Caenorhabditis elegans: one gene and its partners. The protein of the gene in region 3 interacts with the protein of the main gene of each other region in a pairwise test. Each region holds a gene or a part of one and is shown on either strand. Other genes may lie near its edges. The genes, in order: fbl-1, rpia-1 and mcm-6.

Region 1 (3,755 bases), on a different chromosome or scaffold from region 3:
GTTAGTATCACTCCAATAATATCCTCGATTGCAGACACAGGAACCATCGCCACGATTATTCCCAGGAGAGGGTAGACAATGTTGATTAGAATGTGAACATGGATGATGGAGAGAACATTCTAGGGATTGAGGGTTAGACAGACAGCACACGACAAATATTATTTCAAGAAACAGTTAATTTAGAATTAGATTAAACTTTAATTTTTTGAATTTAAAGTGCGCAAAAAACAATAAGCACACAACTTTTTAAATTTTGTTTTTTTTTTAATTTTCTTGTTAAATTATCTTACCAACGCAATGTCCATGTTGAAAAAGCCATCCCATTGGGCATCCAAACTCTGTATTTGCTTGTGATGCTTCTCTATATTCTCCAGCACGAGAATATGGATCGTCTCTCATTCTTCTTGGCGCATTGCCAATTCGATTGGCACGATGACGATGGGGAACAAGACGAGAAATTCTTCTCTGACAGATATATCCACCAATTGTGTTAACACAATCTTCAGACTGGGTACATGGGGATTGGCGGGTTAAACATTCGTTACGATCTGAAAGAGAAGCACAAAAGGTATGTGGGTAAGCTAGAGGACCGGGAATGGATGTAGTGAAAGTGGGAAAACTTTTTTCTGAAATCGTGAAATAACAAAAGAAAATTATCAAAGCTGCCAATTTGCATAAAATACATACCAATTTTCAGATAAACAGTGTGATGTTAATTTTACTATGTATTTTACTATTAATTTTATTATTTTCCATTCAAAATTAAATTTTCGAAAAGTTCTAACTTGGTTTTGACCTGCACAAAAAAAAGCGTAAAACATATTCATACCTACACAAGCCATTCCATCTGGTGCCAAGTCGAATCCAGATCTGCAACTGCATTCAACCTTTTCGCCTCCACGATCATGACAGAGGTGCTCACAGTGAGATGACGCACATCGGTCGCCGAGATGAAGTACATGTGGATCATTGAGTGGACGTCCTGTAAAACATGAAAAAACAATTTTAACATTAAATCGGGTATTTTTTATGAAAAGTTCCGAATTAAATTATTTCAATTTTTTAAAAAGAAATAATATTGAAAATGTTCTGTTTTCCTACCAGTTATGATCTCGGAAGCATGTGTGATTTCAATGTCACCATTACAACATTTATTGAAACTTCTCAAACATCCAGCTGAAAATCCAACTGGAGCAACACACGGTTCATTTCGATTGAGCAAATCTTTGGCTAGAAGACAGCAATCACAACACTCCTGAAATCCATCTCAATTTATATTTTTATTCGATTTTTTAAAATTACTTTTTTCAATCCACCTCCCAAAATATTTATATTACTTGGGCAGCTCTCCTCTTCTTTTGCAATATCTGTACCAGAGTCACATGCATTATCCAATAAACTTCTGAGACAACATATGGATGCAGCTCTTTGGCACGTCATACTTGTTCCTTCGCTTTTGATACTTGAACAAGTATTTGAATTCTTGAAATGACGAGTTCCTCCAGCACAACATCTTGTAAGTTCGTTGGCAAAGGTCTCTGAAAATTTTGAAAGTTTCCCGTTGTTTGTGATAGTTTTCTTTTTATGGATAATGTTAGAAAATGGCCTATTTTCAAAGTGTTTTTGAGGGCCCTCTTTATTAATTATTCATAAAATTTAAATAAATATTTGAAAAAATTTAAAAAGCTTACCTGCCACCAAAAATGCCAATAATAAGAAACAAATTCGCATATTTCTATCCAATCTACTAAAATTTCCACGGGGTTTCCGTAATTCTGTAAGAAAGCAGATAATGTTGTAACGGAAACACAAAAAGTTGTGAATTGGAACGGAAGTGGCACGACACAAAGAAAATGAGTAGGATTTCGAGGAAAGATCAAATAATATCACATCATCATGTGCTCATTTAGATCATATTTCGTACACAGGGCAAGTAAAAAAAGTTTGTACTGAAAACTTTCAGATTTTTAAAAAAAGAAGAATAAAAGAAAAAACTCCCATAAAAACAATGAAACTGATAAGAATTTATGAAAACGTGTGAAAACCTCACAAAAGCCGTTTAGTGATAAGTGTTACGCAAGACGCAAAAAGAATGATAAAACAGAAAATAATAACAATAAAAATAGCACAACATATTACTATTCTTATCACATTTTGCTCAAAAATTCGTTGTGTCTAAATCGAAAAGCTTTCCAACATTCCCGATTTGGAACCGCCCATCTATCTGCTTCTGCCTGCGTCTCATGTTCCCGCATTTTCCTTTCTAATCTAAGCTTATTGTTATTAATATTATTGAGATGTATGTAGATGTATATGTGCCCGTAAATGACACGGATAATAGTCTGGTTAATTAAGTGAAACAATTTCAAATGAGCATTGAAAGGAAGAGGGAGGAGCATTGGAACAGATGTTTACATGGAATGTTTCGAGGAAATGTGAGATTTTGGGTATATTTTTAGAACAGAAAAATGGCAAACGACACTGTTGAAACCAAAACAAAAAATTTATTTGAATTATTTTAGTTTTTGAAAATATTAAATTGAAAAAAAACGGTCTTTCATTGGAATAGCGCAAAATTGATCGACGGGGTTTATGGTGGATTTATAGTTAAAATCGGAAAATACCTATCCGATTTTTGTTTTACGTTTCAGGGCAACAATCATACTTACTCAGAATTTGGAGCTGACTTCTTGAGCAGTTTTTTCCCAAAAAATAGACTTGGTTGAGAAGTTGTGAAGCTTTTGCACAGTTTGAGTTAGACTTGTGAAACCATTATGAAGCTATTACCAAAGTATCTACAAGTTTGAACAACTATTTCCAATGTCTTATCCAATGTTACAACGACACAAAAAAGTTTTTGTAAGATACTGGCAAGAGTTTCCCAAAATTCTCTCTTGTTCTAGAGTTGGAAACGAAAATGGATAAAAAATAAACGCCAAGTGTTTTACAAGTTTTTACAAGTTTGCATATTTACAAGTTATATACATTTTCAAACTCGAAAACAGTATTTTCATAATCGGCAAGTGACTCATCTGTTTGAAACCTCTAAATAAAAAGTTTAACACTCAATCGCAACATAACACAATGTGAGAAAATGATACATCGTCAGTCAGTCAGCAGTCTTCTTCATCTTTTTTCTTTTCGTTTACATGATCAGAAGCATTTTCGAGGGCGGAGCTCGTAAAAAGAGATCGTAAACGATGGAGGAGGAATGAGTTCACATGTGATGGTACACATTCAGAAAATAAAATGAAAATCTTTTTTGAACTCAAAGGCATGAATGTTGGAAAAACATTGGGAAGTGGGGAAAATGGTGGGAAGTTTCAGGATTTGATTATTTTTGGTTAAAAATCCGGCAATTTCTTTTCTCGTTTGTATGAATATATTTCTTTTCTCGTTTGTATGAATATCTATATTTTAACCGTTTAAATTTCAGATCTTTTTGAACATAATTGAAATTTTTAAAGATTAGATAGATTGCAGTTTTTAAAGTTTTGTAGGAAATAACTGAAAATAAATATGTTCTTTGTTTCAAAAAAAAATGACTGCCAAATATTTGACACCACAAATTTTGTATGCGCCTTATACCTCTGATACTCGTTAATTCGGAGCCTCATTTTGGTTTGGAATAAACTAGGGGTGGCGATAGGTCGACCTGTTGCAACCTATTGCCACCCCTAAAGAAACACCGACCCGCTAGGTAGGTAGATTGCATAGACTGCATGGCTCACAGAGAGCAAAATACTAATAGAGGA
Region 2 (3,689 bases), 2.7 Mb from region 3:
TCATCTTTTTAAAATTTATCGTACTTACTTTCAAAAACAATGCCACAGCGGTTCCCCCATTCGGTATCCGCCAATGCCCATTTTCAGAAAAAAGAAGTTGACAAATACCTGATGAAAGTATCTGAAATGAGCACAAGCTAGTTGAATTGAAACTACATTTGTCTTTAAGCAGAGACCGTGCCTATCTCTTAGTGCACAAAATCATACCTTATCGCTTGCCGATATTCCTCTTAGAACACTATTTTTTTCGTTGATCTCGAGGAAATCACTCAATTCAGATGTAATCATTTGGAAATTAAAATTTGAACAATCTGGAATGAATAGAATACGAATGATACGATTTGACGAAAGTGCTTTTTAATACAGCAATTGTTAAAAATTTTGAAATATTTACTTATTTCCCAACTTTATCAGTATTTTTGAAATTATTGCTCGCTCTTAATTTTACCGCCTCCAATGAGTCATTTAGGAAGCAAATTCTCATTTCTTTCAATCTTTAAGCTATCCTCGCCATTCATACACTTCAAGACTACTGTAATTTGAAATTAAACAGTTTCAGACACTTTACATCCAGACACTTTACATTTCAAAACGTTTTCAGAGTTTTCTAATTTTTTTTTCAGTTTTTTAAGAAAGACGTTTTTTCAACACAATTTTTATTGGGGCTATTCTAAGAACTACACGTATACTAGGAACATTGGGAATGAATGGGTACAATTTTCACAACAACTGGGAAGAGGAAAAGTGAAGTTTGGAGAGTGTGGTGGTGATAAGAAACAACTAATTTTCAATATGAACAAAATTCGATGCAAGTAGTCAGTGCTTCTTGGAATTGACAATTTCCTTGACAGATCCGTCAGAGTACGCGAAGAATACTGCGTCGACGCAACCGATGAATAATCCGGTTTCAACAATTCCTGGTGTATTGGCCAATCGTTGCTGAATCGCGAACCAATCTCTTCCGGATACGTTTTTCTCGAACTGCCAATCAATAATGAAGTTTCCATTGTCTGTCACAATTGGTCCGCACTTTTTGACAGCTTGTCGAAGTTGACAGCTTCCACCTTCAGCGCGTGGAATCGAACGTAGAAGTGGTTGAGCAGCAAGAGGTAGAACCTGCAATAAATCTCATTAAAAACAGTCAACATAACTACATCTATTTAGAAAAAACTATTGTTCTAAAGTTTATTCTTTAGTGCATCTTTCTTTACTGATAATTATAAAAAGTTAAATAATTTACCTCAATTGGGACATTCGGATAGCGATCACCCAAGTGTTTGGAATCTTTTAAATAATCAGCGATCACGTAAAAGTTTTTTGCAGCGGTTTGAACAATTTTTTCTTGAGCCAGACATCCACCTCCGCCTTTGATGCACGTGAACTGTCCGTCAACTTCATCAGCTCCATCAATACACACATCCAGTTCTGGATGTGAATCCAAATCGGAGACAGGGAGACCAGACTCAATCAGCCATTGTTTTGTCTGAAATACTTATTTATAACAATTGGGTTTGTTGAAAATCTGTTTACCAAAAAACTGGTTGGAACACAGATGATATCCTTGAGACTTCCATTCTGAAATCCTTGTTTAAGATATTCTACCAAATACTTGACAGTGCTTCCGGATCCAACACCAAGACGGCAACCACTTTGCACATATTTTTCACCGCAGGCAAACGCAGCCTGAAATGATTAATGAGGGTTGGAATTGGTCTTAATTTTTGACTTACTCGTTTCTTCGCCTGCTCAATAGGAGCCAGTTCTGCTTCAGGGCCGGTGGAGGTGACCATTCTGGCGGTTCGCAATACTCCTGATAATGGAAATTTTGTAGAAAACATACAAAAATGCTGAAAAGAAAACGAAAACAATAGTAAATTGATAAGAAAGACTGAAATTTTCAGCTGAAATACTGAAATTAATGAAATTCTGCATTGAGACGTGACGGTGTTTGCACTAAAACTACGATAACACACACTATTTGACGACAATTGCTTCTCATTTTTCTTTTTTCTTTTCCGAATTTTCTTTAATTTTCAGCTTATTGAATCTTTCATTAAGGTTATTTTGAACAATTTTCAGAGAAATGAGCAAACGGCCAGTGATTGAGTCTGAAAAGCCTGCGTGGCACGATGAGGACGACGATAATATGGTTGTGGCGGTTCCAAAAAAAGTGAAAATGACAATGCGAGTTGAACTCAAGCGAACCACAGACGAAGAACATGGAGAATTGGATTCAAAGGTAAATTTTTTTTAGAAATACGTTATTCAACGTGTAATAAAGATTATATAATTGAAAATAGGCAGAAGGATAAATTACTTCTGAAAAATAATTTTAATATTTTAGGAATACGTTGGTAGATTGCAAGAGGCGTTCAGAAAACGCCACGGAGGCACACCAAAATGGGCTAAGGCTGCTGCAGGTTTTTGGAAAATCAATAGTTCAAAAATCGTATTTTACAATTTTAGGAGACGAAGAAGAAGGGTCATTGTTGAAAACTGCTGCCGGATATTTGGCGAAAGACGTGAATTTACCAAAAACAACTATTCATACAACTCTTATAAAAGATTTCAACATCGGACACCGATACACTCGTGGAATCACTGTTGTTAAATTTCATAAAACCCGACCAGTGCTCATTGTTGCCGATCAAGGTGGAAATGTTCAACTTTTTAAAGTAAGTTGTGTTTTCTGTTTTAATTAAACCATTCCTTACTTATTTCAGGTAAGTCGTGAGGTTAAAAAGGATCGTTTCCTTCAAAGTGCGAATTTCTCAAAATTCCCGATTGATAGTCTGGAAATTGCTGATAAAGGACACTCTGTGATCTGTTCTTCAAGCCGAAAGGAATATTTGATGCAGTACAATATGGAAACAAGAGAAGTGACACAGTTGAAACCTCCAAACAGTACGTTTAATATTTAATAAAATTTGAAGCAAAACTTTGAACATTTTACAGCAGTACCAAAGCAAGGAATTCGGCTCTTTGCCATTTCGCATGACTCTCAATTTTTGGCAATTGCAGGACACAATTCTCACATCTATGTTCTCCATGCTACTGTATGTCAAAAAATTAAATTATTGGCAAATTAAAAGTTTAAATGTAAAATGTTTCAGTCGATGGAGCATATCACAACAATATCACTCCCAGCAAATGCGTCAGAAATCAAGTTTTTCCCATCGCACAGCCGTGAAATTTGGATCATCTGCGGTTGGTTTTATATTGCCAAAAATTCAAAAATTATTCGAAATTTCTAGAGACCGGCCAAATTGTGATCGCAAACATTGGATTGCCGGGAACCAAATCATCGCAACATACATTCACCGACGATGGAGCTGTGCACGGAACAACACTCGCCATCAGCCAACATGGAGATTACTTTGCGACTGGGTAAGCTTTTTTAAAATCAAACTTTTATAATTCGTAAAATCACGATACTGTCATTCATTCATATAATTCATATATTAATATAATTGTACAGTTTGCTACATCTTTTTTTTTGTTGATATTTTCAGTTTAGCAACAAAAATTTAAAAAAAAAAATCTTTTTTTGTTGAATTCCGGTGAAAATAAATGACCTAGTCTTTACATACATCCTGATTATATGATGAAAATTTGAAATTTCCAGAAGTGATACCGGAATCGTGAATGTCTATTCTGGAAATGATTGCCGCAATTCTACAAATCCTCGT
Region 3 (3,755 bases):
TGAGGAAGGATATATTTTCTAATCTATATTTTCAGCATATCGGGATTCAATAGGAGCTATGATTTCGGTGGGTGTAACGTTCAATTATCTTCATCCAATGCTCACACTTATTCTGATGACTATTAATCGAATAGCAGTAGTTGTGAGTATGCAGGCATCTCAGCTTTTCACTTCTAGCAAAATATGGCTCTATACTTCATTTCATATGGTATCTTGAAATGCTAAGATTTCAAATGATACATTTATTCTTCAGACTGCCAATTTCGCATGTCTTATTATTCCCTATCTGAGTGAGTGTCGGATAAATTATGATATACGAAAAGTTGGATTCATATCTGAATGTGCACCAGACAGGCATCAGGTAAAGTAGATCTACGGATGATATCTGTGTTACAAAAATTAATAATTTAATTTGTAGATCACAACGTTCTCCAATTATTACTCTGTATTCTTTCCGTTCGTAGCATTCTTTTTCAATGTGCTAGTTATTATAAACTTCAAACTTCAAAGATCACCAACATATACAAAGATCAAAAATATGTTCCGACGTGGGAATGGAGATCAGTTTACATCAATGCCTTCGGATGTTTTAAAAGCGAAAAAGAAGACTGAACGAATGCTTATGATTCAAGCTTTTATCACTGCTTTCTATCTTTCTGTATATGAGCTAACAAGTCTTGTTCTACGAGTTGTTCCGGTATAAATTCAACGAAATAGCGTTTACTATGCAAGTTTTCAGGAACTCTTTGGAAATCTTTCGCTTGACGGAAAGCTCGCATTCACTTATTTTCGACTAGCTCAGGTGCCATGCCATGTATTTCTAGTATACTTCATTTTTACCCCTGTTACCAGAAAAATCTATATGGATTTTGTTCGAGAAAGAGTTTTCTGTATGAAACCAGCGAAAAAGAAGACAATCAAGGTATCTGCGACAACTACTTCCACTAAGAAATGAGTTTCGAATAAAATTGTTTACCTCTGTTCTGATTTGAAGTCTCAGCACGAAGTCCAGGAGTGCTCAATTGAGCAATATCTGGAATGACGATAAGAGTTCCAACAATGTCACATTTATCTCCTGGTTGGACAGTTTCAACCATTTCTCCTCGAACAATCACATCGACAGTACGTGGAATTGATCCACGAGGCAACTCTGCTTGAGTCTCCTGAATTCTAATCTTCTGGAAGTCGACGAAAGTAGATGAGTTGACATCGAGACTGAATCTGGTACGATTCATGCATTGAGGATTAGCACATTTAGTTGGCTGAAAACATTTGAATTCGTTATAAGCTAATTATTATCTCCGCATACCTGAGTGTATCTGAACTGCTGTTGAACATCACGTGTGGTAACACCGCAATCCTCACACACGAAACAAGCCCGTGAAAGTTCTGGATGCACTGGGTGAGTTCGGACAATCTGACCGGCAATGCGCACGAGGCCTCCGACTTTGTCCGCAGAAAGCTCACGAACTTTCGTTTTCGCATCGAGATTGAACAGCGAAACGTACAATTGCTTCTTGAACATTTGCTGTCTCTCACTTTCATCACAAGCATCTAAAGTGGCCAAGTGTAGAGCTTCGCACATGAATGGATAGACCCTGAAGTATATTTATAAGTATTCGAAAATACTAATCGAATTTAATTTACCTGTAGTATTGCAGCTCGATAGTTGTTGCGAGATTGTTACTGAACTTGTAGAGATGTTGCATGTTAATGAAAATGGTATTCTTTTCTGGTTGCACGAGCTCCTTCATCGCAGATTTGTAGATAAACTCATTTTTCTGGTCTTTGAAGCTCTTCAAAAACTTGGAAAACTCGTTCTGCACACGAGTTCCGTCGGTGTCCTCCACTTGCTGGGCTTGACCGCCGATAATGTTGTCCATGCTGAAAGAATTGATTTAAAAAGAATTAAGGCAACTTTCTTAATCGAAAAAGTAAGAAAGAGAACTAGAAATTCAGGAAGTCGGTGCAATCTGAAGAGGAAAACAATGAGAATGCGGGAAAACGACGAGAAATAAGACACCTAAAATTCAAAACTCAATTTTGGCGGCAACCTGCGTACCGAAACACTGGAGTGTTGTAGACGAAACAGTGTGCGCGGTAAAGAGACGCAGACAAATTAGGCGCGAAAACTGTGCGGCTGTGAATTTGAATTTCGACAGAAATTCATTGTCATTCAGAAACTTGCTTTTTCAGATGTAAAAGATATATTTTATGAATAAAATAAAAAACTTATTGGGAAAAATCAAAAACAGAAAAAGGCGCTTTAAAAAATAACAATTCTTGCCATGTCGTCGCAAGACCATTTCCCAAAAACGTGCCTCCCTTGAAACTCACACGGTACGGTACTTTGATAAAAATCGGGCCTACGATTTCTAATTTAATAGCCTGTAATGTAGACTTCAAGAATCAGTAGTTATTGAGAGTCACGAAAAATTTGAAACATGCAAAATTCTCATTCAAACTTGAATTAATTTCAAGGGGAGATAGGTTACCTTGAGACCATTCGGGTTACTGTACTTCTTAGAATTTCAGAAATTCGGGCGATGTTTAGAATGAATAAATATGAGTCAGACGTGCGCAACAGGCCGAGGAAACTTATGCGAGAATATGTGTATGTTTGCTTTCTGGACACTACAACTTCCAAGCTTTGTCGACAGAAAAGTTGTGTTATACTGCTTTATCGATAAGTATGCACTTTCTCTTTAAATTATTCGTTTTGATTTTAAATCTAACTCTGATCTCAAATGGTGAGTTTCGACAATTTTAAAAGTTCAAAGTTCAAAAGGCGCTATAGTATGATGAAATTCACCTATAAACATTTTTTAGAGATTTCCATTTAATTTTGAAAGGCGCACGCTGGATTTCTGAGTGGGTCTCGACACGATCTCGGTGCTACAAGCCATATTTCTCACCTAGCTTCAAGTTTATTGGAAAATATGATGAATTTTATTAAAATACCTTGTCAAAGAATTGTTTCAGTTAAATCTCAATCATACAATGACGTCATTTGCCGCCGACCGTGGTATTTTAACTCACCACGACCTGCTCCAATGTAAGTTGGAGAATATTATAATTGGCAAATAATTCCGTTTTTCTCGTTTAGGAGGTGTCCAACTGCTTCTTTCTTCACATATTATGAATGTTGTGGAGAGTTCTTGGAAAACTGTTGTTGGAGATTTAGACAAGAACCCATGTAAGCTTTTTGTAAAGTAGCTCTAACTAGATCCACATCTAAGTCATATAAATCCACAGAAGAAATTTAAGTTTTCATTTGAGCATCTGTAGTAGAATGAGACATCTCTCAGAACATCCCTATAAGGGGATGAAATTTTGGATTTCTTAATTTGGAACATCTTAAACAGGAACATCTTGAAAACTAAACTTTTTTCAGAATAATCGGAGTAATTCTTCTTGTTCTTCTCTTACTTGTATGTTGCTGTTGTTGTGTTTCTTGGATATTCGTTGGAAGAAAAAAGAAATCTTCAAATATTGAACCAGAAAAGAAGCCAACAAAGAAAGACTCACAAATTCAAACAATTAGCAGTTCAACAATAGATTCTGGAACTCAATGGGAACTCCGAAGAAGCTACGAGGAAACTGATAAAAGAAGGTCTTATGCAGCTGCTAGAGATCAAGAACTGGATTATCAATATTTTCAATAATTATATATTCTGCTCAATTGGATTTTTTTTTGAAAAATTAAAACGTTCCGATTTTCATTTTCCTTGAAAGTGCCATATTTCCTCAAGGAT

What was found.
Region 1: the proteins of mcm-6 (region 3) and fbl-1 interact in a two-hybrid assay, tested with the Caenorhabditis elegans proteins (one large-scale study listed by BioGRID).
Region 2: the proteins of mcm-6 (region 3) and rpia-1 interact in a two-hybrid assay, tested with the Caenorhabditis elegans proteins (one large-scale study listed by BioGRID).

Annotation. Positions count from the first base shown.
Region 1 is NC_003282.8:9,538,828-9,542,582, reverse strand, and holds the start of fbl-1 (Fibulin-1), read right to left. Parts: upstream 1,776-3,755; 5' UTR 1,732-1,775; coding exon 1,692-1,731; intron 1,539-1,691; coding exon 1,303-1,538; intron 1,256-1,302; coding exon 1,102-1,255; intron 983-1,101; coding exon 830-982; intron 549-829; coding exon 291-548; intron 1-290. UniProt on the Caenorhabditis elegans protein: Incorporated into fibronectin-containing matrix fibers. Plays a role in cell adhesion and migration along protein fibers within the extracellular matrix (ECM).
Region 2 is NC_003281.10:7,121,286-7,124,974, reverse strand, and holds rpia-1 (Probable-ribose 5-phosphate isomerase), read right to left. Parts: upstream 1,848-3,689; 5' UTR 1,791-1,847; coding exon 1,731-1,790; intron 1,684-1,730; coding exon 1,531-1,683; intron 1,484-1,530; coding exon 1,241-1,483; intron 1,117-1,240; coding exon 817-1,116; 3' UTR 640-816; downstream 1-639. Other genes in the region: B0280.2 (uncharacterized protein), read right to left, coding at 29-121, 208-288; B0280.9 (U3 small nucleolar RNA-associated protein 18 homolog), read left to right, coding at 2,084-2,239, 2,345-2,420, 2,467-2,675, 2,724-2,904, 2,956-3,056, 3,114-3,207, 3,255-3,387, 3,626-3,689.
Region 3 is NC_003281.10:9,792,496-9,796,250, reverse strand, and holds the start of mcm-6 (DNA replication licensing factor mcm-6), read right to left. Parts: upstream 1,885-3,755; 5' UTR 1,884-1,884; coding exon 1,648-1,883; intron 1,599-1,647; coding exon 1,310-1,598; intron 1,263-1,309; coding exon 977-1,262; exon of another isoform or gene 956-976; coding exon of another isoform or gene 740-955; intron 698-739; coding exon of another isoform or gene 419-697; intron 362-418; coding exon of another isoform or gene 254-361; intron 209-253; coding exon of another isoform or gene 36-208; intron 1-35. Other genes in the region: srxa-10 (Serpentine receptor class XA 10), read left to right, coding at 36-208, 254-361, 419-697, 740-955; R10E11.9 (uncharacterized protein), read left to right, coding at 2,693-2,750, 2,983-3,055, 3,107-3,196, 3,395-3,665.